Linked DNA regions of Pelodiscus sinensis. The protein of the gene in region 1 interacts with the protein of each later gene in a pairwise test. Links are inferred from orthologs where the notes say so. Each region holds a gene or a part of one and is shown on either strand. Other genes may lie near its edges. The genes, in order: PSMD9 and NCKIPSD.

Evidence for each region.
Region 2: the proteins of PSMD9 (region 1) and NCKIPSD interact in binary tests that used the Homo sapiens proteins (3 or more experiments, as listed by UniProt). The two-hybrid records come from large-scale screens. The link is inferred for Pelodiscus sinensis from reciprocal best matches to the Homo sapiens genes PSMD9 and NCKIPSD.

What each region holds. Positions count from the first base shown.
Region 1 is NC_134725.1:33,297,356-33,312,132, forward strand, and holds the start of PSMD9 (26S proteasome non-ATPase regulatory subunit 9), read left to right. Parts: upstream 1-8,060; 5' UTR 8,061-8,121; coding exon 8,122-8,229; intron 8,230-9,546; coding exon 9,547-9,649; intron 9,650-11,881; coding exon 11,882-12,075; intron 12,076-12,660; coding exon 12,661-12,762; intron 12,763-14,578; coding exon 14,579-14,667; intron 14,668-14,777. Other genes in the region: HPD (4-hydroxyphenylpyruvate dioxygenase), read right to left, coding at 2,533-2,595, 4,239-4,265, 4,504-4,506. UniProt on the Homo sapiens protein: Acts as a chaperone during the assembly of the 26S proteasome, specifically of the base subcomplex of the PA700/19S regulatory complex (RC).
Region 2 is NC_134721.1:26,039,328-26,054,898, forward strand, and holds the start of NCKIPSD (NCK-interacting protein with SH3 domain), read right to left. Parts: upstream 7,511-15,571; 5' UTR 7,432-7,510; coding exon 7,261-7,431; intron 1-7,260. UniProt on the Homo sapiens protein: Has an important role in stress fiber formation induced by active diaphanous protein homolog 1 (DRF1). Induces microspike formation, in vivo. In vitro, stimulates N-WASP-induced ARP2/3 complex activation in the absence of CDC42.

The DNA.
Region 1 (14,777 bases):
GACCACTTCCTCATAACACTTTTTTCCATACCAGCACTCTCCAAAGGACAGCTTTACAGCATCACCCACGGGCCCCACCCTATAGCGAACAGCTAATGTGCACTGTCATCCAGCTGTTGAATGATTTGAAACATGCTTCTTAAAGTAACATCAAACTTCCCTTTCTATATGGGCCTGTAATATTGCACAAGAAAACCCTTGTTTGTGCATCTTAAGCAGATAACGACACATGGTGATGCTACAAGCATAGCACAGCTATTTTCAGTCTGTGGACCCCTACGGATCCACAGACCAGGTCTTAAGGGGTCCGTGAAAGGTTGTTGTTACCACAGAATAATGGTTTTCAACCTGGGATTTATGGAGCCCCCAAAAGGTCTGCAAACTACATCTAAGATTTCCAAAGAGGTCCACACCTCCATCTGAAATTTTTTAGGGACCTGCAAATTAACTTAGATCTTTTACAGGTTCAAATCAAGTATTTCTGTACTGTATTTCAAGTATTTCTATACTTTGCTATACACTGCTCTATTTAGCCTGCTGCTTTTTAGGCCCTGACTTAGGCTGTCCAAGTGTCAAGCTTTCCCCTTGTGGCTGGGTCTCTAACTGGATAATGTGATGGTCACAGGATGCAGCAACTGATGGGTGATTTGATGCCAGGAGCAGTCACATGACTAAAAGTTGATCCTCTAAACCCTTATGGGGCAGTAGGTGGTGCTGAGGTCCGAGAGAACCAACTCAGCTGGGCTTACACCACACACAACAGCAGAGATGGCAGCTACGGAGGGCTGTGTCACACTCAGCACAAGGCCAGCAGCCACGAGCAAGGACGGTGGATATGACTGGGGCAGTGGAGAACAATGTGCGTGCATAGCAGCTGTTTCTGTTCAGAACTGTGACCTCTCCTGCAGGGTGGGAGTAGGTCTAGTGCTGAGTCCCAGGGAGGCAGGAGCCACCAGCTAACTCACACACAGTTGAACAATTGTCCAGTCAGTGTTGAGTAACACTCTGGATAGCCTTAGGGATGCTCCTTCTGCACTCTCTTTGACACACGCACTGGCACAGACAGACTGGTAAAGGTCTCATGTTCCAGTCCGCCAATGGCCCCTTTGCATGCATACATTATTATTTAGCGGTCCCTTTGCACGTATAGCCCTGAGCATGACAGGCACTGCCTGGTCCCTAATAAATGAGGGATTCAGTCCAATTCAGTGTTCTACCCCCTTTGCACAGATGCTCAAGAAGGCTCTAAGAGATACTGCCTGAGACAGGCAGAATTCTGGGCTCCATAGGCAGGCGTCACAAGTCTCAGACTCAGTTGAACCCCAAGCTGGGAAGTTTGCAATTCTTTATCTGGGTATGTTCACTTGTTCTGTTGTCTTGTAACAATCCTCTCCTCTATGGGAAAGATCCTGTTGAAGGCAACTGTGGTTTTCAGTGGAGTCTTTCCAATCATTTGCAGTGATTCACACATTTTTAAATACGTTCCTGCACCTGCTAAGTGAGCTTAATCACTATGCTGGAGAAGAAAAGACTCAAGGCTATACTGCAAACCTTGCTGTAAATGGCATGGTAAGGAGTCTGGTAGCAAAAGGGCAGATCATAATGTGTTCTTACAAAGTCTAACAGCAAAAGAACAGGTTCTGTGATTTTTTTAAAAATGAAATGGCTTATTTTGAAACGAATGTTTTCCCTTTTAGTTACAAAGACTGCAATATCAGGCTTATGTAGGAGAATTAGAAAGTGGGAATAAATAGCTGGGAATAAATAGGATCGAAACTGACTACCCTTTTCCAGGCTGAATGTACGTTAATTCAATGAATACTGAAATATAAGTGAACTTTTTATTATCCTTTCCATGAACCTGAGATGTTACTAAGAAAAAGAATTGGGTTTCTAAACTGGAAGGATTTTTAACTTGCTAATGTCATTTTAACATGGAATGATACAGCTGCCGGGCCAATCAGCAAAGACTGATATCTTATCACTTTGCAAACAAGACTGTCACACAATGCCTCCATCTAATGGTCTCACAAAGGCCTGGAGATAGGGACTTGGCTGGGGAAGCAGCAGGAACTATGTTTTTGTGAGGGTTTTTTTTATATTAAACAGGTGCCACTGCAAATCTCTTGTGTGGTTTCATATAATGTATTTTGGATTTTCTAAATGCCCACGAATTTAGGAAGACAAATGTTTACATGCAAGTCCACACAATTTGGTGCCCTGTCTGCAATGTAAACAACACTGTTGCATAATGATGGTCCAAAGACCATGCTGGAAGAACATACTACTGAACAAAAGTGCTGTAACACCTCCATCTGCGCAAAATCACCAGAGCCAGCCTCTAAGGGAATGTTAATTGAATGCAGATCCCCAGGACAATCCAGAAATCACATGGCAGACCCTCCCCTCCTGACAGCCAATAGCAAAGGTGGATTACAGTATGCCCCTGTTCTTCAAACAGTGATAGCGTACAAAAAATGATCCAACTCCCATACTCACAAGCAGAGGCAGATGTGACTTTTACCTACATACCTGCTTAGCATTTCCAACCCAGAATGTGAGAGAGTGGAAGTGGAGAAATTTGCCTCCTTCAGGCTAAATGGAAGGAAGAAGAGTTAATATGAACCTACAGGGTTTTGGGTCTCACTTTAATGCTACACTTTTAAAATGACACTGTCTCTATTTTAGCAAGTAGTGGGTCAGACCTAGATTGGTATAGCTAGAGAAACTTGGTGTGATTGCACATTTATCATTTGAAATAATAAAACTGTGGAAAGCACAAATCTGAGACTAGGGTTTTATAAAAATATATACTCAAGATATCTGAAATAAACCACTTTTGAAGGCTGAAAATAATTCAAAGTATTCCTACATCACAGGTTTTCTGAGGAGTCCCTAGAGAGCTCTGATGTTTGCTGGGCACTGACCCCCAGAACACTGGACTTTGAAAAGGCCTGGGGGGAGGGGGGGGCTGTTATATATTCCAAGCAAAACAATTAGTTTGTCTTCTAACCATTCAATAGTAATTTATCTAAAAATAAAGCCACTAAAAACTTATGTATAATGACCAGGGTAAATATGGCCTAACTGGATCAAATCACAGCACCCTCCAAACATGCTCTGGAGGAAAAATACCAGTGTGGATGAGAGAGATGCTAGTAAAATATTCACAAGACAGGAAGGAGCAAAGTTGGACAAAACATTTCCACGGGTAATCTGCAGAGTGGTTCTTTCCTTCGGGATTCTGGAAAATAATCATTCAGGAGTCTCTGATGGAGAGAACACACAGCAGCCGATCTGCTCAGTCATAACTTTGTCACTGAACACAAAATACCTGATTCTGTTCTCCCAGCCTTGTAAAGTAGGAGTACTTTCACTCGTCAATTAAGTCACATGTAAAACCAGTTCAAGTGAGAACAGACACAAGCCAATGGATGAATTGTTCTCTTATTACACTGATTATAATGAGGATGAGTTACAGAGAATAATGGAAAATAGACTTTGTGCCACTGGACAAATAACCCACTCAACTGTATGGATCCAATATGAGTTTGTTAACCTTGTTACGTTAAAGATTAATTCTCATCAAGGAAAGCTCTTACTCAACTGCAAATGTGGGTCCAAGCCACAGTTGGGGAATTTAACAAACTTTTTTGAAGTATTTCATAACATTATTTGGTCAAACACTACTTTAATAAACAGCTTTTCTATCTTACTTATGATTTGATATCTACTTTCTCCTGTCTTCTCATTTGTAATCACTATTAATTATTTGTGCATATACTTTATATAAAAGATAATGCATTAAGTAAACTTATGTTATACGGGATAGCATTTAGCAATTAAACATCATTATGCTATACAGATCAATATTTTAAAAAAAGTTTGTTTGAAACAAGTTTTTAAAATATATTTACAGTTTTTATTGAGAAATAATAAATTGTGCTTATCTCTAGACTTGGAAGAGTTTGATCTTAACTGGTAATGTCAGTAATCTTACATTTCTCCTTCCCCCAAAAAAGCGAAGAAAAAAGATCTGCATCATTAACTGCAACTTACAGAAAAGGAGAACTCTAAATATAAACTGTGTTCCAACACTATAAAACTGGAGCCCCTTCAGACTTTTAATCCTACCTAACCATCAATGTAGAAGACATTTATAATATCAGTGTTGCACTAATAGTACCAGTCTTTCATTGGAGGGAACATAAACCCATTCCATGCAATTGTATTCTTACCTTTTCTCCTTTGTCTGTGTAAGTTGTCTAAAGAGATAAATTAAAAAAATGTACATTAATCACCAGAAAACTAGTCCATCAGGTCACTTTTTAGAAAATAAGTGTTCTGAACTGCTTTAAACAGATAAATTAAATAGCCCAGCTTTTCAAAGCACAAACAGTACCCTGAATAACTGAAGACAAACCTATACAAACACAGTGAGAGATTAGCTCATTTACCCCCAATAATGTGTTGCCAGCAAATTTTAAAAAATCTCAACCTCACCATTTTTGTAACCTGACAATGTGGTAGCCCCAAGAGACAGTCAGAGTCTTTCTATGTATTTAATATAGCAATGGGAAGAGAGAAAGCCCCTCCCTGACTCCACCCTTTCTATCTTGTAAACTAAATGATTTACTTGGTTTGAATCATTCTGCCATGGGCTCAGAAATGATAACATGGAGTTCATATTTATGTTGAAAGAAAGAAAAACTGTTTACAAATTCTGAGCCAAGGGTCCAGGTTACTTTAGCTGCAGCTTATCTGTGAATCAAATTATCTAAGGAAAGTCTAAAAAAAAGACCAGATTCTCATCAGAATGTAGTATTAACCCAAAGTAACTCTGTACTTTTGGGCTGTGTCGACACTGGCATGATCTTTCACCAAAGTGGCCACTTTTCCATAAACACATGCTGCCTGTCTACACTGGCGGGGAGTTCTTGCGCAAGAACACTGACGTTCTGATGTGTGAAGTCAGTGCTTCTTGCGTAAGAACTATGACACTCCCGCTCAGGAATAAGCCCTTTTGCGCAACTGTTCCTGCGCAAGAGGCCAGTGTAGACAGGCAACATGAATTTCTTGCACAAGAAAGCCTGATGGCTAAAATGGCCATTGGAGCTTTCTTGCGCAAGAGAGCATCTACACTGGCACGGATGCTCATGCACAAAAGCACATCTCTTGCGCAAAGGCACATGCCAGTGTAGACGCTCTCTTGCGCAAATACTTTAACAGAAGTCTTGCGTTAAATAGTTGCGCAAGATCATGCCAATGTAGACATAGCCTGGATTAACACCAGATTTCACTGATTTTAGCTTGTGGACCATCACATCCCATATCTTTGAAGCAGAACTCTGACAGTGCCAGCATTCACAGATGTTTGCTGCAGGGAGAATTTAAAACCAAAAAATTTACTTGAAGGTGTCTAGGCATTGCTCAGGGAATTGGCAATTGGAATGGGTGCTTTTCAGATCTAGATTACTGCTACAAATCTAGAATAGGAAAGCACTAACCAAAATGTATTATTTGATGGCTGTGCAGTGTACTTGTTTGGCTTCCACCACTATGTCTAATTGACAGCAATTAAGAGGAAAATCAGGCCTCTCATGGATCTGGGAAATCCAGTTATAGTATGGTTTCTTCTTCCCTGCCAGGAAAGAAACAAGCCTGTTATAATTTGTTGCAGGCAGTTAACTTTGGCAGTTAATAGCAGTGGAGCTTGCTTGGGAGACATGGAGAGATACTTTTGGCAAGGAGAGGGCTGGGATCAGAGGACTCAGCTGAACCCCAAGGGAGTTTTCTGTTTTCTCACTTCTGCTTGTTTGATTTGTTTGTAAGGGAAAGACCCAGTTGACTGCTGTGCTGTTTAGTTAAGTCTGCTGATCCTCCCACCATTTCACACACTGTTGTGTCCTCAGGAATAATTCAAGACCAAGATTGTCCAAGCTTTTCACACACTGTTGTGTCCTCAGGAATAATTCAAGACCAAGATTGTCCAAGATCTTCCACAGCTTTTTCTGAGCGCACGCTAGAGCTGGTGACTGCAACAGGCACCCTCCCAAGAAAACTTTTTTTTGTTTCCATTCCCCACTCTCCTTTAAACCACACTCACCAGCAGCCCAATGGGAGATGGAGGAGAGGCCTATTTGGCTACTAGTTTTCAAACTATGGGTTGCAACTGAGTACTGGGCCATGGAATGTCAAGCACTGGGTCTCATTGCTGCAGGGGGATCAGCTAGCTCCCTGCCTGACCTTGCAGCGCAGACTGCACCACAGGCCCAGCTCCTGGAGAGGAGGGGAGAGCATACAGCAAAGTCTGCAATGCCAGGAGGCAGGAAGCTGCCTTAGCACTCCCGCTGCACCTCTGAGAGCCATTCAAGGTCAGCCCCTCCTGCCCTAGCAATGACCCCCACTCAAGCCAGAGCCCCCTCCTACACCTCAAAGCTCTCATCTTCAGCCCCACCCTGGAACCCACAAACCAGTCAAATTATATGGGGTCACAGACATCAACAACTTTCTTCAACTGGGTCTTGAGAAAAAAAAGAGTCTGAAAACCACTGTTAGACTATGATTTAGCCAGCTGACTGCCAGAGTTTAAGTATCCTTCTTTAGTATAGTGTTTTCTGTCCAGCCAAGCAAGAAAACATTGTTTTCTCTGATTGTATTTATTATAATTGGGCAAAATCCCATTTCTTTCCAGTTCAAAGGCAAATCAATGCAAGCATTCTCTGCTCACCCCAACAAGGGTATATCTGAAGTGCCATTCATCCTCATTATGAAATTTCTTGCAAATAAAAACCTTGACAAAACAAAAACACATAACCTAAGAACTTCCACCATGCCTAAAACTAGAAGTAGATGTGCTGAACAGCCAGGCTACGTCTACACTGGCCCCTTTTCCGGAAGGGGCATGTTAATTTCAGCTATCGTAATAGGGAAATCCACGGGGGATTTAAATATCCCCCGCGGCATTTAAATAAAAATGTCCACCACTTTTTTCCGGCTTTTAGAAAAGCCGGAAAAGAGCGTCTACACTGGCCCCGATCCTCCAGAAAAAAGCGCCCTTTTCCGGAGGATCTTATTCCTACTTCAAAGTAGATTCCTACTTCAAAGAAGAAGATTAAAAAAAACAAACCCACTCATAAGCCCTCTCTCCCCGTCCCAGCCCTCCACATGGTCCATGGAAGCCAGCACTGCAGAACTCTTCAAAAGCCGCCAGCGACCATTCCCAGGACACAAAACCGGGACGGAACGATCAGCCTGGAAGCGGCTTCAGTGGAACGTGGCGGACACGTGGGAGCTCGAGAAGGACTTTGCCGCTCCACTTTGTACCCCGCGATGAGCGCTAGTAGCCCCCCCCCCCGGGCTGCCCTGAATGACGTTTCCACTAGAAGTCTCCCTGGCCAAGAGGATGCAGCGTCTGGCGGCGCCGGTCGAGAGGCTGAAATGCTGCAGCCGCTCCCAAGGGGCCAAGGCGCGGGGCGGCAGGTGCCGGGATGATACAGAGAGGGGCGGTGACCGGGGGGACGCTCCCGCGCTTAAAGTGCTTGCAAATCCCCTGCAAGGCCGCAGTGTCCCTCGCCACGTACAGGCGTGGGGGGAGGGGGGGTTGGTTAGTGACCCCTCCCCCCTCCCACGGTGCATTTTAACCCGTGCGCGCCTGACTGGCATTGCAGCCGCTCTCCGGGCCCTGCTGCCCCCTGGCCCCGCCCACGCGCGCCGGGCCCTGCTGCCCCCTGGCCCCGCCCACGCGCGCCGGGCCCTGCTGTCCCCTGGCCGCGCCCACGCGCGCCGGGCCCTGCTGCCTCGTGGCCCCGCCCACGCGCGCCGGGCTCTGCTGCCCCCTGGCCCCGCCCACGCGCGCCGGGCTCTGCTGCCCCCTGGCCCCGCCCACGCGCGCCGGGCTCTGCTGCCCCCTGGCCCCGCCCACGCGCGCCGGGCCCTGCTGCCCCCTGGCCCCGCCCACGCGCGCCGGGCCCTGCTGCCCCCTGGCCCCGCCCACGCGCGCCGGGCCCGCCCACAGCGCGAGGAGGCGGGGCGATGGCTCCGCCCCTCCTCTGCCCCCCCCCCCCGCCCATCCTGCTGCGCGGCGCGTGACGCGCGGGCGGGGGTGGCTGGGTCGAGGCGATGGCGGAGGAGGCCGGGCCCGTGACCATGAGCGACGTGCAGGAGCTGATGCGCCGGAAGGACGAGATCGAGGCCCAGATCAAAGCGTGCTACGCGGTGCTGGAGGGGGTGCGTGCGCGGGGGGCGGGGCGCTGCTGGGGGCCGAGACGCTCCCTGTGTGGGGGGGGGATGCGCGCCCCCGTGCCAGTGTGTTGGGGCGCGTGCCTGTGCGGCCCCGCCCCTGCCGAGCGTGTGGGGGAGGGCGTGCGGAGCTGGCCCTGGCAGGATGCATATGCCTGGCCCGGCCCAGCCCGACTATCACTGCTGGTGCGCAGCCCGAGGCTGCCTGATGCGGGCCAAGCCTGCCCGTGCAAGGCCCCATGGCCACGGGGGAAGGGCACTGCTGTTTGGCACTGCAGGGGTTAACGCAGCACCGCTGCAGGGTGGCCGCTGGGAGCTGGGCGTGCGGTACCTGACGGTAGCTATAAGGGGCGCTGCGCATCCCTTATAGCTGCCATCAGGCGCCCCACATAGGTTGGCATCCCGGGCAGCTGCCCGGCTAGCCCATGCCTTAATCCGGCCCTGTTTGTGTGTATTGGTCTCTCAGGTTAGAGCCTGACAGCCCACATGCACAGGGTTCACTGTAGGGGGTCTCTGTGCAAAGCTGGGCTGTGGCATATGTGCACATTCAGTGAGAGGGGAGAGTTCATGGCGGGGTCTCCCAGGATGGTCGTGGAGCCTCCAGGAATTAAAGATCATTGTTGCGTTCAAGATTATGTTGTGATGAAATGTCAAGGAATGCATCCAGATGGGCAGTCCTCAGGGCAGGGATGGGGTCTGTGCAAACTCAGATCTGCAATGTCCTTACAGACTTCATTTAGTTCATTCTGGTGCAAAAGTAATTGCCTCCTTGGCAAGGCGGGGGGCAGCTCTGGGTCCCCAGAAGGGTGGGGTTGGAGGGATGAGACTCCCCCAGTCAGCCCTTTGTGGGTTCTGTTTCCACATCAGCCAGTAGCCCCAGGGTTTGGGTGGTGATGTAGAGGGCAATGGGAACAGCTGAGAGCACTGGAAGTGATTAGAAGGTCCCCTTCATTCCCCTCTTCCCAGGTTGAGGCCACTGCAGTAGTGACAGCCAGGACCTTTTAAATCAGCAGGGCAGCTGCTCCTTTTGCTTCCCCTGTGGGCAGCCCTGTTAGTGTAGGGTTCAGCAGGGCCACTGATGTTAAAGCACTGCCACAGCAGCACTATAATGTCAGTTGTGTACGAGCCAGTACTGGTAGCTGGTTCTTACCTATATGCTGTACTAACCCACTCTGACCTATGAGTTCAACCTACTAAACAAGCTGTTGAGACCACAGGTGCCATATTTTTGTCCTTTAAAAATGAGAAACAAAATGTAACTTGTCTCAAGAATACTTGACGCATGAAAGTATTTCCATTCTGCAGCAAAAGGGAGTCGGGATGAACGAGCCGCTGGTTGATGCTGAAGGGTTTCCACGTGCAGATGTCGATATATACCAAGTTCGTACAGCCAGGCACAACATTATCTGTAAGCAATTCAGTCCTCAAAAGTATCTTGTCAGGGGCTGAGCTAAATGAAACAGACCACACTTATCAGAAATTTGGTTCTTTTTTTTACAAACATCTGGTTTGGTTCGTTTTGTTTTTCCCATTGGTAAACATAAAGAAATAAAACTGAATACTGTTTACATAAAGCAAAATTATTGATTGGACATTTATATATTTACAACAGTAAGTTTCTTTAGTTTATAATAACAAAATAGATTATTAAAACACTTTATTAGTAAAAATAATTAGTCATCTTTATAGTAATACACTCCTAGTGCTATTTAATATTTTAACTTCATCCAGATTGCAAAATAAAAATGGGTCAGTTTGAGTTTTGTTTCCAAGCAGCTTTTCCCTCTGGTCAGGTACTACAAAAGTTCAAGTAGAGTGGCTCAGTCATAAAAATGAATCTGTTAAAATGTGTGTGCAACATTATTAATGCACCTATTAATGATTAATAAAAACAGTAATATTTTTGTATTATTGTAAAACTTTTCTGTGTTCTTTAGAAAATAAATGTTGGATCTAAACTAGTCAACGTTGTTCCTTTTAAATTTAGTGATTGCTTTGTATTTTGTGGACAAATGTATTATAATAGTCATTGTTTAGAAATAAGTGTTGCATGTAGAGCAGGGTTCGGCAGCTTTTCCAAAGTGGTGTACCAAGATTTAACCCTCCTGTCCTGGGCTGTGCCACTCTCTCGGGGGGGCTCTCTCCACCGTGTGCCCTGCTTGGTCTCCTATCCTGGACTGTATTTCAGCTTTTCCTGCACCTGGGGCTAATGCTGCTTTGGGGTCAGAGGACCCCCACATGCATTTTCCTCTCCCCTGAGCCGCTGCCACCCAGCCCCGGAGCTACAGCCCGAGCAGCACTCACCCTCTAGTGGGGGCCCCGTGGTGGTGGTGCTAGCGGTGGGACGTGACTTCAGCACTGTCTTTAGCCCGCCTGCCAGGGACATCACGAGGCAGAAAGGGAGGAAAGTGGAGCAGGGAGTGCTGAAGCTGTAGGGCTAGGGCTGTGCAACAGGGCGGAGACTGGCAGGCTGGAGGATGCAGGGACGGGACTCCCAGGTGAACGTGTTGGACGGGCTGGAAGGCAGCTCCTCACACCCCCTACCGAAGCAGGAAAACTGCGTCCTAGAATGAGCCCCCTCCTTACCGCATCTGTTGCACTCCAGTCCAGCTCCAGCCTGCCCCACTCCCTCACATGGCCTAGCAGCCCTGCTCTGCCATGTCCAGCCGCCCTTGGAGCAGCTCCAGCCCCTGGAACAGTCATGTTCCTCCATGTGGGCTGGCTGCCCCCAGAGCAGCTCCAGCCTCCAAAGCAGTGGCCTGCTATGCAGCCCGGCTGGTCAGGCTGTGTGACTGCCACGGAGCAGGAACTGGGGAAGCAGCGAGGCTACCCTAGCAGGGACAGCCTCACCGCGACCCAGCTCCAGCTGTGGCTCCTAGAGCAGCCTCGCTCTGCTACGTGGCCCCACCAGGTGGACCATGTGGCTGCCACAGAGCAGGAACCGGGGCTGTGGTGAGGCTGCCCCAGCAAGGACAACCTCACCCTGACCCAGCTGCGGCACGGGGAGCCATCCGTCACGCAACCACACCACTCAAAACCTTATCCACTTCTAGCATACATGCCGTGTGTTGCCGATCGGATAGAGAGGGTGATTGGATGGAAAGGGGATTTGGTTGTTTTGTGTTCTTTATGAGGACACTGATCTCCCTAGTCTATATACTCTGTTTAGTCTATAGGTTTTTACTTAATTTGTAATGTGGCTGTTTCTACGCACCTTGTGTGTAGTTGTGTATCAATGCTGTGCTCCTGAGCAGAGCTGTGAAAGAGCTCTCAGTCGGTAACCATGGCGCTGTCAGGTGATGGCTGTTGTAACTGGTTATGCTTACACAGTGGATCTTTTAGTGTATTTGGGAACATTGACTAACTCCCATAGAAAGTAACCATGTTCCTGACTACATAACATAGATTTAATGTGATTCTCAGGTAGCCAAACTGATCAGAGAAACTGAACTAGGAGCAGCAATGCCATTGTTGCTAGCACAGTTTCATTCACAGTGTAGGCCTAAGAGGAGCAAAAGTCTTAGTTTTAATTCAAAGCTAGAAATCTCAGACAGAGAGGTAAATGTATCTGTTAGGTAAGGACCTTAAATGAAAACGTGATTGTTCCTGTCTTCTCTGCACTAATGTGTCTCGCCCTTAGGTTTGCAGAATGATCACAAGGTCCTAATGCTTCAGGTGGAAAAAGCCCTCCACCAGCTACATGCCCGAGAGAAGGAGAAACGTGCAAAGGATGAGGCCGAAGCTCAGGCCGAAGCAATGAATCAGGACCAGAGTTTGCCTCAACCCTTTGCAAGAGTGAATGCTGTCACCCCAGGCTCTCCTGCTAGTATCTCGGCAAGTACAATTGTCTTGCTTCCAACGGCGGAAACTCTGCCATTTGGACCCCAGATATGGCAGGTGGTTCTCCCCATTCACCTGTAATCAGGTGCAGGGTTTGAAGTTCTGTTTTAAACCAGATTCTTGCTGGGTGCTTGTAACTTTCCTCATGGACATAATTATTTCTGTTCGCCTCGACAGTATAAAGTAGTACGCATTGCTATACCCTATAGAGCTGTGGCCATGTTAGAATATCTAGCTAATGAATCAGGCATAGGGATGGAAATCTGAACTGGGTTCTTCCCTAACTCTCCAACTGACACTTTGTAGGACCTTGGGTAAGGCCATGCCACCACTTTGTGCCTCAGTTTCCCCATCTGTGTAACAGGGATAATAAATACTACCCCCCTATTTCCCATGGCGGTTCTGAGGAAATCTGCTAACTCTTGAGGAATGCTTTGAGATTCTTGAATGGAGCTGCAACCTAGTTGAATATTTATCAGGTGCTGTAAAGAGCCTTGGATGAAAGATGTTATATGAACTCACACCACTGTGTATTTTTGAGGGCAAATGATGCGAGTTTCCTTTTGTTTCTTTGAAAAGGGATTACAGGTCGATGATGAGATCATTGCATTTGGCTCTGTCGACACACACAACTTCCAGTCCCTGCAGAATATTGCCACTGTGGTGCAGCACAGCGAAGGGGTGAGCAGGTTACCAGCTTTGGCTGAGCTCTCTTTTCAGGCTTAGAACTGAAGGTTGGATATTTTTTCTTTTGTGATAGTTCAAAGAGACCATTAGTCTCAGTTTCCCACTCTGGAAAACGAACATCAGGCTCCTCCTGCTTGTGTTTTTTTTGTGACTGTTGGCCCTATAGCTATGCTATTAAATATTATCCCTAAGACCAGTGAAGAAAAGTTAAGAATTGTGAGGTTTTTTCCTGAGCTGACAGAGTTGGGAGCAGAATGTAGGTGTAATGCTTGGTCTCTACTGAGAGTGCTTGCTGTTGGCCAATCAAGGAACAATGGAGATAAACTTCAAAAAGAGAGGAACTTTTAACTCTCCACCATAGCCTCGGGGGAAGCCGGCGGGGGGGCATCCCAGGCGCGCCTGGGCTGCTCCCCCGCCGGAGCCCCTCCGCGGCTTTCAAAGCCTTTGAAAGCCGCGGAGGGGCTCCGGCGGGGGAGCAGCCCAGGCGCGCCTGGGATGCCCCCCCGCCGGCTTCCCCCGAGGCTTTGAAAGCCGCGGAGGGGCTCCGGCGGGGGAGCAGCCCAGGCGCGCCTGGGATGCCCCCCCGCCGGCTTCCCCCGAGGCTTTGAAAGCCGCGGAGGGGCTCCGGCGGGGGAGCAGCCCAGGCGCGCCTGGGATGCCCCCCCGCCGGCTTCCCCCGAGGCTTTGAAAGCCGCGGAGGGGCTCCGGCGGGGGAGCAGCCCAGGCGCGCCTGGGATGCCCCCCCGCCGGCTTCCCCCGAGGCTTTGAAAGCCGCGGAGGGGCTCCGGCGGGGGAGCAGCCCAGGCGCGCCTGGGATGCCCCCCCGCCGGCTTCCCCCGAGGCTTTTTAAAGTTTTGGTAAGGATCAATTTTATGTTCACTGTACAGTGAACCCTCGCTACTTCGCGGTTCGACCATCGCGGATTCACGTATATACATAATGTAATGAAAAAAGTCCGCGAAGTCGTGAATCCGCGATGGTCGAACCGCGAAGTAGCGAGGGTTCACTGTACCATATATAAGCCACTATATAAGTCCAGAGTACATCCATGCCTTGAATACTGCTTGCAGTTCAGGGTGGCCCATCTAATAAAATATGTTAGAACTGGAAAAAGTACAGAGAAGGGCAACAAATAATTAATGATACAGAACAATTTTCAAGTGAGGGGAGATTAAAAAGAGGGACAGGGTTGCAACCAGTGTTCCCTGTAAAATGAGCACTTGGGTGGCCAGACAGGAGAGATTCAGATTAGGATTGCCAGGTGCCCAGTTTTGAACCGGACAGTCCAGTATTTGAGCTTTCTGTTCGGGAAACAAATTGAGAAAATATGTCCAGTATTTTCTAAATAAGATGTAAGGTAGATTGTGATGTAATGTCAAGTGTGTCCGGTATTTTTTGTTGAAACCATCTGGCAATTCTAATCAAATGCCACCCAACATATTAGTGCCCAAAGCAAGAAGCCTGTGTTTGTACTGGTGGTGCACATTCCTCAGTGCACATAACAAAATGTATTCTGCACATTGATGGGGGGAAAAAAATTAGAGGGCTCATTGATTGCAGTCTCATGCTCTGGATGTCCCTAACCTTTGAGCAGTAGATGTTGGGATTGTGATAGGATGGATCACTATAAATTGCCCTGTTGTTTTCACTCCCTCTGAAGCATATGGCACTGTTCGTTGTTAGGAGACAGGATACTGGGCTAGATTGACCATTGGTCTGATCAGGTATGGCCATTCTGATGCTCTTAGAGGGGCAGGGAAATGAGAGTAGGGCCAGCTTGACAGGAAAAACTGTTTTTCTTGCATTTCAGAAACCATTAAGTGTGACCGTGATCCGTAACGGCAAGAAATTACACCTTGGGCTCACACCGAAGTGCTGGGCTGGGAAGGGACTCCTGGGGTAAGCTTGCCATTTCCTTCCATAGCCTCTGAGTTCAGATTAGCTAAGTATATGAGCTGGCATGTCATTAGCCAGCCTTAAACTGGAAAATTCCATTATTAAGCAGAATG
Region 2 (15,571 bases), on another chromosome or scaffold:
AACAAGTCTATTATTTCAAGGGTATTCATGAGATAATGCCTGCCTGGAGAGTATGACCTGAAGTAGCAGATCCTAGTGGTCAATCAGATCCAGAATCTGGACACTAGCTTGGGGCCAATACCAGATACCTCTACAGCAAGATCTCTCATCCTTTTTGATATCATGGACTAGTTTGCTGCCTGCCTAACTATCACAGATATCTCAGGGTCACCACCGCTCTAGAGGAAAAACAGTAGCCCCTCCCTATAACAGTCTTGTCATTTCAGTCACATACTTAGCCAGCAACATGGGAAACCCCATGAGAGACTGACTGTCACAAAAGAGCCACGAGGATACAGGACTCAGAGATTGCAACACTAGTCCTCTTAACCAAGTGTCATCAGTAGTTCGTATCTTACTGGAACCTTCTGTTCTTCACCACACATAAGAACCCTCATAGTAACCTTCACAAGAAGGAGAGGAATTATTCCGTTTCAGAAAACAACAGAACAAAAAGGAACAGCCAGTAACTAAAGAATTCAGGTTACATATTAAGAGAAACGTTTTTAGAGTCAGTAGTTGGATAGTGGAAGCTCCCTGACTGCAGTGATATCAGGAAAGATTAGATAATATTTCACACGTATTTAGTCTCTCTGGTTGCTAAAATGCTTTTCAGTGTATACAAAATAGTATTTTTTACATGCAGTCAGCTCTGGGGTGGCAGGCAGTAATCATCTAGCACACAGTAACAATGCACAATAGTGAGATACAGGAGGGAAAAAATTAGCTAAGAACAGAAAGGCAAACCCTAACTTATGAAAAAAATCATCAGGAGAGATCATTAAAGTCTACACAGAGCAGACAAAAATCCTACCCTTTAAAGTCTCTCTTTAAGCCCAGTAATCTATAAACTGCATGGAATATATAAGGGCTCAGGTGGCCCTGCCAAGATTCAAACTTATCCCCAGGAACCTAGGTGTTTGAAACTTCATGCTTGAATCTCTGGCCACCAAGGCTAGGCAAGTATTAATAAGACAGCTAAAGCAACTATTCTCTTACAGTCAGCCTTGCAAACCGTAGCGGGTCAGATTCTATGTACCAAGTGGCCTTTTCTGGCCTTGTCGTCAACTGCATCGACCTCACTGATGGCAAGTAAGCAGCTTCTACTGTTGTGGTGGTACAATTCAGGTCTTCATAGGCTGGAAGCCGGAACTTGGAACAGTTCCAGATTCCCATTAAGTAATCACACATCTTAGCATTAGGATAGTAACATATGGGCTATTTAACCCAGTGAAAGGATCCTTGTTATTCGTTACACTCATCTTTCTCCTCTTTCACCAGCCAGCCACTCTCCTCCGTGACACAGAGAATAAAAACCCTGCTCCAGAGGAAGCTTTTAAATTGAAATTTTTACTACTTCGTAAAAAACTTCAAAAGGCTCATCTTCTGTAATGAATGACTGTCTCGGACTGAAAAGCCAGACTCCAATTTAATCTCCATATTCTTCTGCCATTCAGAAACCACTTCAGTGTCACTCATGTCGTTTGTGATGAAAAACTAAACCTTCTGCCAATTGGCTCCTTCCCATTTAATCAGAAAATACCAAGCTTTTGTGTTGATGATTTCACTACAACAGCATCTGCCTGGCATTAGCTATTAGCAGCACTTGTCTCTGCTATGTCAGTAACTCAAGGCAATTATTTTGTGCCATTACTGGACAGCTCAGTGTCAGGTGTAGATTCTCACTTGTTTGATCAGCAGCACCTGTTAGCTTTCTAGTTTGTTAGTTTTGCTTGCAAATATTGCTATTTCAGAGTCTGCCAGCACATCTCTATTTGCAGTTTAGTGCTCAGCCAAGACTTCATACAAAGTCTAAATTCAAGCAAGCAATTACTTTTGCTTCAAATTCTGTGCTTGCTCTAAGGCAAAAAGTAGGAGGCGGCCCATGTTCTTTCCCCCAAGCTTGTTCTACACTTAAAATTTATACCAACAAATCTATGCTGGTTAGAAGAGGGGTTTATTTCTTTAACCAGAAAAGCTATACCAGTATACACCCTGACACGCATGCAGTTTATACTGGCAAAAACATGCTTTTGTCCACATAGCTCATCTGTCTTGGTGAACTGGTATAAACTGTGTCAGCAGGAACATGTTTATTCCAGTATAAGCTACATCTTATGCTGGAATGGTTTGCCAAATACATAGCCCCTCAATCTGAAACAAATATTCACCATCAACTTCACACCCCGTAACAGAAACACTAAGCCAGAAACCAATGCCAACAACCACCCCATTACCAACTGTCCATATCTACCCTAGTTACCCCATCATAAGACCTCACCACATCAGCTATACCAGCAAGGCTTTGTTCACTTGCATATCTAATATATGTGCTATCATGTGCCAGCAATGCCCTTCTACCATGTACCTTGGACAAATTGGACTGCCTTTACACCAGGGGTGGGCAAAATGGCCTCTGTGGGCCAGGTGCGGGCCAATCAGGCATGAAGCTTTCTTTGCTCTGCCCCCGCCCTGAGAGCAGCATGCAGCGCTTCGCGTGCTCCTCCACCCCGAAGCCTCCTCCCACCCTACTAGGAGCATGCGGCGCTTTGAAGCACCACGCTGCTCACAAGGCAGGGGCAGAGCGAAGAAGGCTGGGGGCGGGGGGCAAGAACTATCTGGCCTGGGGGTGGGGGAGCATGCAAAGCCTCCTTCAGTATAGGGGCACATGGTGCTTTGAAGCATCAGGCGCTGCTTGGGGGGGGGGGGGGGAGAAGAGAGCAGAGGAGGCTTTGCGCACTCCCCCGTCCGCAAGCCCTAATTGGCCTAGGGGCAGGGGAGCGAGGAAAGTCTCCTCCCATATCCCAAGTCACCATCTTCTCCTGCCGCAGGTCACCAAGCAAACCCTCTGTACTCCCTCTCCCCACCTCCTCCAGGTCACAACTCCTTCCCAGACCCTGCACTCCCTCATACATGCCTCCCCCAGGCTAAAATTCTCCCTCTCCTGCACTCAAACCCCCTCCCGGGTCCTGCACCACACTCCATCTCCCCACCCCACAGCACAACCCCCTCCTTCACCTAAACTCCCTTTCAGACCTCACACGGTTTCCTGCACCCCCAGTTCCCTACCCCAAGCTCCCTTCTACACCCAACCTCTGTCCCAGACTCCACATACCCCCCACAGAAATGCGGCCCTTGACCTCTTAAAATCTTGGAGCGATACCCCAATCCAATTGCCCACCTGTGGGTAAACCACTTAAATGGGAGCAAGAGGATGGGGGCTACTCTAGCTAGGCTAGAACACCCCTAGCTCCACTGTGCTAGCCAGGCTGGTTAACTGTAATTGGTAAGCATCACCTGGTAAAAGTGACACTTATCAGTTAACAGATTAACTGGTTAACCATTCACATCCCTATATCCTTTTTTATGAGATTCCTCTGGGAAGCAATAGCAATAAGATGTTTACTTATTTTGACTGTGATTGTTGGAACATGGACTGCTTACCAATAACTTGACTGCACTATAAATGATCCTACTGACTTGTTTGCAACGGTCCATTGCTGACATGCTCTCTTTGCCTGCTCAGTACACCCTGTCACTAATTGTTAGCTTCATTATTCTTGTAGTGCTCGTAGTGACATTAATTACTTCTCTGTTTAATTAGCATCAAACTTATTAAATAGAGAGGTGGTGTATCTTGTTTGCATTCTTGTCGCTATCAGTCCATTCAACTGTCTAAAGCAAGGCTTAAGTCACAAAAAGGTTTTTCCATATCAGGTCTACTTAGTTTACTAATAAAAGCAAATTTTGACTCCAGACAGAACTGAAAAGCTGACCTCAAAGCACTCTGAAATCACTTAATGAGATGCAGTCAATGTAACTAAGCACTGATATAATTACAGAGCAGTTATTTGAATTCTCATCTGCCTCATGCACGTATGATCACAAGTCAAGTTCTGGTTCCAGAACCTTTATTGTCAAATAACATGGAGCTTTTCTGCCACCTCTGTATTTCCTGGTAACAGGTTAAAATAGCAGTTTGGAAAGTCATGTTTGAACTAAAGGAGAATAAATATGAAGTACCAGAATCTATTTTCATAACATGTCATAACCCTGCTTTCACATTCATTTTAATATTTGTGATTAATATACTATCTCTATAACCATTCTAACCATCTTTAATGCAACCCGTGGCTTGAAAGTACTTCAGTGTGAAAGCAAAATAGAAGGGCAAAAAGGAAGAGAGAGGTTTTCAGATGAGATTTTAAACTACAGTGCTTGAGGCAAAGAAATACAGGAAGATTGCTCCAGAAGGCAGGAGTTGCAGTGAATATGACTTCTGCACCAACCACAGTGAAACTTTGTGGAGGGACAAAAAGGAGGCATGGCACTACTAGATGAGCAGATGAAGCAAGAGAATGGAGAAAAAAATTGCACAAGTAGTACATTCACTCAAGTCCACAGATTATTTTAAAAATATATTGTTTTAATTACAACTTCAGCTTTGTAAGTGCTATGAAATATTTCAGCACCTGATTCTTACATGAATACAGGCAGTCCCCGAGTTACGCGGATCCGACTTATGTCGGATCCGCACTTACGAACGGGGCTCTCTCGCCCCGGAGCTCGCAGGCAGCGGGACCACCCAGAGCGCAGCGGTCCCGCCACCTTGACCTCCAGGGTGAGAAAAGCTGCTCCAGGTGCCCCTGGTCTGCTGGGGACCGTCTCCAGCAGACCAGGGACACCTGGAGCAAAGCCGGAGAGGCGGAGGGGTCCCGCGCCTCTGAGGCTTTGACAGAGCAAAGCCTCAGAGGCGCGGCACCCCGCCGCCGCTGCGGCTTTGCTCCGGGTGTCCCTGGTCTGCTGGGGGGGGGGGCGGGGGAGGAACGCAGCTAGTGGCCTCCCCCCCACCCTCTCCAGCAGACCAGGGAGACGTGGAGCAAAGCCCCAGGCCTGTGGTAGAGCAGGTGAGGCGCTGCCGGTTGGTCCCGCAGCACCGCTCCTTGGCGCTACTGGACCAACCGGGCAGCACCCCAGCTGCTCTGCCCCAGGAGTCCTGATTCAGCCGCTGCTGATCAGTTTCAGCAGCGGCTGAATCAGGACACCTGGGGCAGAGCAGCTGGGGTGCTGCTGGGTTGGTCCAGTAGTGCCGAGGAGCGGCGGCGCTACTGGACCAACCCAGCAGCACCCCAGCTGCTCTGCCCCAGGCATCCTCAAGTCAGCCGCTGCTGAAACTGACCAGTGGCTGACTACAGGAAGCCCCTGCTCCGGGCTTCCTGGAATCAGCTGCTGATCAGTTTCAGCAGCAGCTGACTTGGGGATGCCTGAGGTTCTTAAGTTGAATCTGTATGTAAGTCAGAACTGGCGTCCAGATTCAGCCGCTGTTGTAACTGATCAGTTTCAGCAGCGGCTGAATCTGGACGCCAGTTCCGACTTACATACAGATTCAACTTAAGAACAAACCTACAGTCCCTATCTTGTACGTAACCCGGGGACTGCCTGTAATCCAATTGAAGTCCGACTATTGTCATGAATAGGAGTTGCAGGATAGGATCCTTACTCAAGTACAAAGGTCTAATCTTAGAGTCACACTGGCAGACCAGGTGCCAGCTCTTGTCAAAGCTATAGGCATCAAATTCATAACACAGTCATAGCTGGAAACCAGACCAGTTCCCCTGTACATTCGTAATAACTCAAGATAGGCATCAGACTTATAAGAATGTGATTAAACTCTATGAAATGCTTGTAAATTGCTGCATGCATTAACTTCTCGTAATCTCTATATCCCACGTTATCCAGTGAAATGCAAGTTTTTGTTCTACAGCACCTACAAAAATGTATGGGTTTTCCCTGCTGTTGTGATTACTGCATGAGCTCTCATCATTCTGACTCCTATTAGGGTTGGAAGAGTCTGTCCTCTTATTTTCTATAATTACTAATGTCACTGACTTGACTATAATTACTGCCACTATCATTACAGCTGGTTGTTCTGGCTTCTCCCACATCAGTGCTGGGACAGGCCTGTTATTAGCCCCCATATTATTCTAACTGTTAGTGAAATGTGTGTGACTGATCTGCTGCTAAACATTCTCACTTATACACAGCAGAAGCTACAAATAGCCATTTTCAAAGCAATTCTCTGCACATTTGCTCTAACATACAGATTGTGACAATAACTGCTTAATATAGAAGCAATACTTAATGGTAAATTCAGACATTAAAAGCAGCACATAGCCTATCATCCACTGACTCAACCTCGGGGAGTCGACCAACTATACATCTAGTCTCACTAGTGCAGGCCATGTGAACTTTTCCTTTTCCCCCTCATACTCTCATGAGAGCAGAGGATACAGAACCAGCATATAACTTCTTCCATACCGATACCCCCAACTCCCTTGTCTTCTAACCCATTATATGTAGGGGCCAACATATAACTTATGTCCTTGGAGTAAAGCTCCATGTTTCTTCTCTATGGTCCTGACCTACAGAAGTTTAGTGCATAACTTGCATCACCAGGTCAGTGTTTCCTGGTCCTTGGCAACCAAAACACCCAAACTGTCACCTCAGCAAATGGTAAGACGACAGTGGACCTCTCAGGCAGTGGTCCTCATACTTGGCTTAACCTCATTATCCTCTACAGCTGCAGACAGGAGTGGTTGCATCTCCTCTGCACAGATCCAGCTGATTCAAGAACTTCATGACTATAATTTGGACATCCTCTGTGTGGGACAGAAAGCTTGTGCATAGACCGTGTTACTAGCACAGCACCCCATGACTTGTTACTTTCTGAGGAAAGAGGCTAAAAAGTAGCTGGTTCCCAGAATAGATGCCCTCTAAAGACTGCACTACAGAACTTCAGTCAGTCTCTGTAGTACAGTCTCTCTGTTATTAGCGTTAAGCCTCATCCTACAAAGAGGCCACGTTTCATCCTCTGGCATGCCACAGCCAGGATAATGCCCATCCCTAAACGCCCAACTGATTGGCTGCAGCCATTTTAGAAGAGGGCCCCCAAAACCCAGCCTGTGCTCTCTCCCCCCCTAGCCCCCCCAACCCAGCCTGTCCTCTCTCCCCCCCTAGCCCCCCCAACCCAGCCTGTCCTCTCTCCCCCCCTAGCCCCCCCAACCCAGCCTGTCCTCTCTCCCCCCCTAGCCCCCCCAACCTGTCCTCTCCTTCTCGCCCCGGCAGCCCATCCCCCATTCCAACCCGCCCAGCCCCCCGGGCCGGCTTTGCCCTAGGACGGGGCGCCGAGCCCGCCTCGCAGCCCACGTGCCCGGCTCTGACCTGCAGCCGCTGCAGGTAGGAGGCCGGCGCGTAGCCCGTCTCGCCGGAGCCCGCGCGGGTCACCAGCCACCAGTGCTGGTTGCTGCGCTCCAGCAGCAGGAAGGTCTCCCCGGCGGCGAGGGGCAGCGAGTTGGGCTCGGCGGAGCGGAAGCTGTACAGGGCCCGGTACATGGTGGCGGCTCAGCCCGGCCCTGCAGGTGCCGGCTCCCGATGTCAACACGGCCCCACCCACCAGCGTGCTGCGTCATCTGGTCGGTCGACGTCACCGCGTGGCCCCGCCTCCTGGTTTGGCCAGTCTGTTGGGCGTGAGCGCCCCCTGCTGGGTCGGCTGCCCCCAGCATGGCCCCGCCTCCGCACACGGGTCAGCCCCGCCCCCAACCCCTTCTGCGGGAGGCAGCGGCTGCACCCGCGTGTTCCTCAGGCCTGCGTGGCCCCCCCGCAGGGGGCTTCCCCTCCCCTTGCTCCTGGCTTCTATCCCTCCCACTTGGGGCAGCCCCTCCACCCGTGTGACTCCTGCCCCCTTATAGCCGCATGAGCCTTCCCTTCCCCTCCCTCGTGGCTCCTGCCTCCCCGCCATGGGGCATTACCTCCCCTGCCAGCTCCCCTCCATGCGGGTCCTGGCTCCTGCCCGGGCCTCCTCTCACCCCTGCACATAGCGCCCCCACCCCCTCATTACCGTCACCCCCAAGCGTTTACCGCCCTGTCACATCACTCCGGGCTCCTGCCCCACATCACATCAGACCGCTGCCACACCTGGCCCCACATAGAGCCAACCCTTTGCTGTGTGGCTGCGCTCACTGCAGAGACATTTCTGCATTTAATCATTCCCACTGCTCCCTCCTGGGCTCCACTATCAAGCCCCCATTGCCCTGCTGCCTTCCTCCCCCCTGGGCTGTATGGGACTCTAGTCACAGGCCACAAAGCCCGGATTCTGGAATGTGGACAGAACTTGTATAAAATGGAACTAGCACGGTGCAAGAGTAGCATAGGTCTGACATACATGGCTCTATTCTCTCCCAGCTCCTTGTTACCTTTAGTATGGGGGCCAAATTAGGAGGGCCAGGAAGGGCAAGACCACAGCACTTTGTTTTGGAATGCAGAACAGCTCATTGGACTCCCACTAATTTGCTGTAAGTTAGAGCATCTGCCACAGCTGGGGAAATAGGATTGGATATAATACAGAAAATAGTACAGTACCATTATATAAATCACAGGTTCCCTCTTGTCTAGAATACCCTGTGCAGTATTGATCACCCCATCTCAAAAAGACTATTGCAGAATATTGCAGGTTCAAAGAAAGCAAGGAAAGTTATCAAGGAGCTAGTAAAACACACAGGAAGAGCTTGAGAAGATTGGGATATTTACCTTAGGAGATGAATAGGAGGGGACATGCTACAAGTGTATGGCATTACACATAACAGTGATATTTAAGATAACAGTGATATTTAAGAGCTTCAGAGGGGTAGCCGAGTTAGTCTGTACAGGATAAACTTAAAAAACAACAAATAGTCTGGTAGCACTTTAAAGACTAACAAAACATGTAGATCAGTGGTTCTTAACCTGGGGTGCACACACCCCTTGGGGGTGCAAGATGCCCTTTGTGGGGGTGTGAGACATGCCAGATTTTTATGATATATCTTAGATTTAAAACTGACCTATTTCAACGATTTTTAATAAGGGGTACGAGAACATATTTTGAGAACCAAAGGGGTGCAGACTACCACTGATGTAGATGGTATCATGAGCTTTCGTGGGCACAGCCCACTTCTTTAGATGACCAGTGTTGGATGTCCAGAACCAAAAATAAGGAAGGGGGGAGGAGGAGGAAGAAGCAGTGGGTATATAAATATCAAAGGGAAAGCTGAGCAGTATGTAACAAGCAAAAGTGATATTTAAAGATCATTTAAAAAGTTGGGCACCCTTGGGCATCTGCATTGTGGTAGTCTTTAATTACATGTGCCCATACCCTGCTCACCAAACCCCTGCCTCATTTTGTGCATAGGTATGGTGCTCAGTAAATGGGCAGCTATTCAATATTTGTTCATCTTGTTGTTCAGTGTGTGCCCCTACACCTTATTTACTGCATGTTATTCATACTGTCGAAGCAAATACACGCTCCTCTCTGTTTAGGCGGCTAACAACTGATTGCTTTATTGATCAGTAAAGCAAAGTGAGCCAAACGTGGTCCCAGCAAAGCCGGGCCCAGTAAGGCTGCTAATACAATCAATCCTAGTATCTTTATACCCTTAGCCAAACAGTCTGATGTCAGGGCATCCAATTACAGAAATCCTCAATTAAATTTGGAAAAACAAAGCCTTATCAACAAGATGGCGGACAGGTACGAGGGAGTACATCTCCTGTCCCAACCAGCCCAATTAACACATACCAATAACCCATCCTGTAGGCCTCTTCTCACGGGTTGACAGAAAGTTCACTCTGGTCTACGTGCTTGAGAGAAAAGCTGAAATGGTTTCTGATATACAAGATGGCTTCTAGCTAAACATAAAATAGCTTCTACAATACCTTGCTCTGAGTCTGAAGATAGATTTATTGATTTCCTCACGGGCTCTTCTGTAGTACTCCCCAATTTAGCATCTGAGTGGTGCATAAACATTAATTTATTTTCACAACCCTCTAGTGAGATGATTATTACTATCCCCATTTTACCGATGCAGAGCTAAAGCACAGAGAAAGTAAGGTCAAAAGCAGATCTGAATGGATACAGTATTTTCTATTCTATTAACAAGTCTGAGGTTTTCAATTTTTTTTTCATTCAATAGCAAAACAAGAGATAAAAATCTCAGAAATGTTCACCCAATACCAGCATGCCAGGATGGAGGGCAGCCCAGAGAGCTGGTCAGGTGGGAGATTGGCCACTAACCTCCCTGAGAAAGTGTAGGTCCCTGGGTTCCACAGCAGTTCACCAGAGGCAGGGCCCTGGCAGCCCTGACTCCAGAGCAGGACTGCAGAAGAGCTGTGAGCTTCATAGTCAAAACACTCAGAGCTCCCAGGTTCTCTATTCCCTGTCAGCCCACCAGATAGGCTGAAATTAGGCATGCAGGGTTCCATTGGCAACTTTTCTAGTCTAAAAATCAACACATTTGCATGGCGTATTTAAATGTTGATTAATCAACATTTTGTGGTGAAAAAATGTTTTGCCAGAAATTTTCCAATTAGTGCTACTCAAAGGTTTCTGATTTCAGATGCCCAGTCTGGGACACCTATAAGCAGATTTTTCAGAGTTCTAAGTTTTCTATGTTAGATCAGGTCCTCCTGTTCCATAACACCACATCAAGGGAACAGTTGATAACACTGAAAGACAGCAAATTCAAAACTGATAAAAGGAAATACTTCTTTGTACAACACACAATCTGTGCAACTCACTTGCATAGGAACTTGGCAGTGGGGCTGGACATGTATATGGATGGGAAGAATATAATTTAATAAAATTAAACAGGGATATAAACGTTCTTGCTTTAGTGTTGAAGTCAACCTCTACCATTACAAGTAGGGAATGAGCTTAGGTGAAACTAGGGTCTGATTCAGTGCAGCAATTACTATGTTCTGAAATCAGTCTCTCATCCATTCGATCCAGGAAATGGCTGCTGCCAGATACGTTTGGGAAGTAATCTTGTATAATACAGCAGGTTATTCAATGACAAAACAAGAGATCACAACATCACTTAAAACGAGACAAAGTTCAAAAAACAATACAAACAATGCAAAAATGGACATGAGGCAGTCTTTGGTTTGATGAATACCCAGCAGAGGGCAGTAAAGGTTTATGAAACAATATGAACACAGTTCATTGTCAGTCTTCTGTACTTCAGAACATTGTTCCAGAAAAGTCACAGTGAGGAGTTACCAGAGCTGTGTGAGCAGATGAGAGGCTGGGACTGGGCTCAGTGCATCAAAACACATCTGTGTCACTTGGCTTATTCCCAACATGGAGACTAGTGAACAATTGTGAAATGGCTCCCAGAGCATTCTGGGTAATCATGAAAATAAACCATAGCACTAGGCTTTCAAATGTTATGCTTCAGCACGGACACAGGGACCATTAGAAGTGGAGCAGTTTCCTCGAAGCAGGTTTTCAGGCTCTGTGCTTCCTCTCGACCTTCTAAACACCCAGGCCCTGATTCCTAGTGTTGTCTTTCAAGAGACATCACCCAGTGGATAGAGGGCAGGAGGCTAAGGTAAATTTACACACAATTAACCTGTGCCACTTGTGTCCCTCTGAATTCTAGACCCTGCCAGAAGCCCAGCTGGCTTCTGGTGTGACTTAGCCCCAGCACACAAACCACTAGTCTGCCATCCTTGAATGGCTATCCATATTCTGACAGCTCAGAATAACCACAGCACAGTGCACACTGGGCACACAGTGAGCATGCCCCTAAGTCAGTGCTGTGCAGGAAGACAGAGAAACTTTCTGAGTGTAGCTGAGAGGCCTGGCCACTGTTTGGACTTAAAGGCCTGGTGCAGCAAATAGATGTTGGGGCAGAGCTGCATGTAGGAATTTTGAAGCACAGTGGGATGGTTGAGGGATATGCAGCCTCTGCCAGCTCCTGCTCATTGAGGGCCATGCTAAAAGGACTGTGCTCTGACTTTATATCCCTCAAGTGAGGCCAGGATCAGTCAGTGGGGTGGGTGAGCCGGGATCAGTCAGTGAGGAAAAGAGAAGAGGTATCTGCCAGCTAGGGGTGCGTCTATACTGCACTATTATGTCAAGATAACTAGCGTTATTTCAAAATAACAATGTGAGCATCTCCATAGCCATTCCATTATTTCAAAATAATTCCAAAATAACGGATGGCTCATTCCAACTTCTGTAAACCTTATTCCACGAGGAATAACTCCTATTCCAAAATAGCTATTTCGAAATAAGGCATGTGTACACACTCCACTGCTGCTATTTTGAAATAGCCCTTCACCAGGGCCATTCTAAGTTATTCCTCCCCAGTGCCTCCTGAGATAGCAGATCTACATTAGGAAAGCCTGCCTCAGACTAATTTTGAGGCTTCCCTTCAGCGTAGATATGTTATTTCAGAATAACTATTCCTGAATATCTTATTTTGAAATAGCCTTGCAGTGTAGACATACCCTAGGGAATGCAGTCCAAGGAGCAAAGCAAAGGAACCCATCTTGGCATGGAAAGTGGGTTCTTTAATGATGACACCAAGTTCAGAGGGAAGGACTAGGACAGTGAAGAAGAGCTAGTGACTTCAGGACAGGAAAGATCAGAGCAGAGATCACAGATGGTGTCACAATGAGACCGTGCAAAGCCAAAGAGGTTATCATGGCAACACAGTAGAGAAGAACTTACAGGTAAGCCAGTAAGATCTAGGAGACTGGATAGAAGTGGAGAAACAAGCAGGCCTGATACAGATGATTGAGCCTGCTCAGCAAACTTTATGATGGAAGAATAGAAAGGGCTTAGTTGTGTTCTGGAAGGGGAAATGGGCACTGCTATTAGCCAGAATGGGCAGGAATGATGTCTCTAGCCTCTGTTTGTCAGAAGCTGGGAATGGGCGACAGGGAATGGATCACTTGATGGTTACCTGTTCGGCTGTTCTGTCCACTCCCTCTGGGGCACCTGCCATTGACCACTGTTGAAAGACAGGATATTGGACTAGATGGACCTTTGTGGTCTGACCTAGTATGGCCATTCTTATGTTCTGATGGTCCATGGTTGTGAGGCTGTCACATGCAGTGAATAGGGATGAGATGTGGCTTGAATCACGCTGGGAGAGAGCCCCAGTGCCTGGATGAGACCCTTAGTACAATAAATGTACAGAGCATACAAATAGAGCTTCCAAGTGCATGTTGCCAGCTCTCATCATTTATCACATCTGGTGACAGTTGATGCTTTTCCTTAAAGTTCCAGCTTCCAAATTCTTAAATAGGGGAAATTGGCTTACCTTTTAAAAAGACTTTTCTAGCTTTTGTGGTTGTAGAGAAAGGCTTGAGAACATGACTTGAGTGCACCCCGAAAACTCTGAAATCAGAGGGCGAAGAAAATCAGTGCAACATGTATTAATCGTTAACTATCTCAGCGTTTTTAAGCTGAGACCTCACTCATGACTGCTGAAGATAGGGGCTGGCAATACTGTAATGCTCATATCAACTCACTCTCCCTATCATGTAGAATCATAGACCTAGAAGGGACCTCAAGAGGTCATCTAGTCCAGTTTCCTGCACTTGTGGCTGGACTATTTTTTATCTAGACCAGCGATGCACAACCAAGACTAGTGAGTGGGCCACGTGGGTTACAACTGCTTTGGAGGATAGGGTCATAATTCAAAATGATCTAGACAAACTGGAGAAATGGCCTGAGGAAAATAGGATGAAGTTTAATAAGGACAAATGCAAAATATTCCACTTCGGAAGGAACAATCCGTTTCACACATACAGAATGGGAAGTGACTGTCTAGGAAGGAGTACTGCAGAAAGGAATCTAGGAGTCATAATGGACCACAAGCTAAATATGAGCCAACAGTGTGATGCTGTTGCAAAAAAAGCAAACATGATTCTGGGATGCATTAACAGGTGTGTTGTGAGCAAGACATGAGAAGTTATTCTTCCGCTCTACTTTGTGCTGATTAGGCCTCAATTGGAATATTGTGTCCAGTTCTGGAAACCACATTTCAAGAAAGATGTGGAGCAATTGGAGAAGATCCAGAGAAGAGCAACAAGAATGATTAAAGGTCTAAAGAACACAACCTAGGAAGGAAGACTGAAAGAATTGGGCTTGTTTAGTTTGGAAAGGAGATGACTGAGAAGGGACATGATAGCAGTCTTTAGGTATCTAAAAGGGCGTCACAAGGAGGAGGGAGAAAAATTGTCCTCCTTAGCCTCTGAGAATAGGACAAGAAGTAATCGGCTTAAACTGTAGCAAAAGAGGTTTAAGTTGGACATTAGGAAAAACTTCCTAACTGTCAGGGTGGTGAAACACTGGAATAAGTTGCCTAGGGAGGTTGTGGAATCTCCATCTCTGGAGGTATTTAAGAGCAGGTTAGATAGACATCTACCCAGGAGGGTCTAGCCGGTTGTGGGTCCTGCCATGAGGGAAGGGGACTGGACTCGATGACCTCGAGGTCCCTTCCAGTTCTAGTATTCTGTGATTCTATTCTATTATAAAGCCCAACAAAACAGTCAAAGAATTAAGTGACATTTAGGGATGTTAAATTTCGACTCCAGCTATATAATTAATGTAGCTGGAGTTGCGTATCTTAAGTTGACCTTCCCTTTTAGTGTAGACGTGCTGAGACTTCTTTTTTCAAGACTAATACTCAGCTGCTTCAATCTTCCCTCATAGGTCATGTTTTCTAGACTTTCAATAATTTTTGTTGCTCTTCTCTGATCTTTTTCCAATTTGTCCACCTCATTTCTGAGATGTAGCTCCCACAACTGGGCACAGTATTCCAGTTGAAGCCTAATCAGCAGAAGTAGAGCAGAAGAATTACTTTTCATGTCTTACTTATGTCACTTCAGCTAATACATCTCAGAGTGATGTTCACTTTTTTATAACAGTTTTAGCTTGTAGTCCACAATGACTCCCTGGTTGCTTTCCACAGTACTCCTTCCTGGGTAGTCATTCCCCATTTTGTTTGTGTGCATCTGACTGTTCTTTTCCTATCCAGAGTATTTTGCATTTGTCTTTACCAAGTTTCATTCTGTTTACTTCAGATCATTTTTCCAGTTTGTCCAGATCATTTTGAATTTTAATTCTATGCTCCAAAGCATTTGCAAACTCATGCAGCTTAGTATCCTCCATATACTTTATAAGTGTACTCTCTATGCCATTATCTAAATCATAGATGAAGATATTGAACAGAACCGGACCCACATCTGATCCCTGCAGGATTCCACTTGATATGCCCTTCCAGCATGACGGTGAACGATTTATAAGTACTCTCTGGAAATGGTTTTTCAACAAGTTATGCACCCACCTTATAGTAGCTCCATCTAGATTGTATTTCCATGTATTTCACACATTATCAACCAACCAAACAATGAAGGTGCTAATGGTTCTTGATGACTGTGTAGAATCTGGAGTTGGTCATCTTTCTTTCCAAGTGCAAACTAATGGTTCTTATCAGCCTCTTGTAACTATTTAGTCTTTAAGGTGCTACTAGACTATTTGTTGTTTTTTATGTCTTTCCTGTTACAGACTAACTGGGCTATCCCTCTGAAGCTTATCTACTTACTGTCTCTTTTTTCTTCCTCCCCTCCATTTTTTTCCTTCTCTCCCCTCCCTCTTTGCCTTATTTATTCTTGGATCTGGACTTCCAACACTCTGGTAATCTGAAGA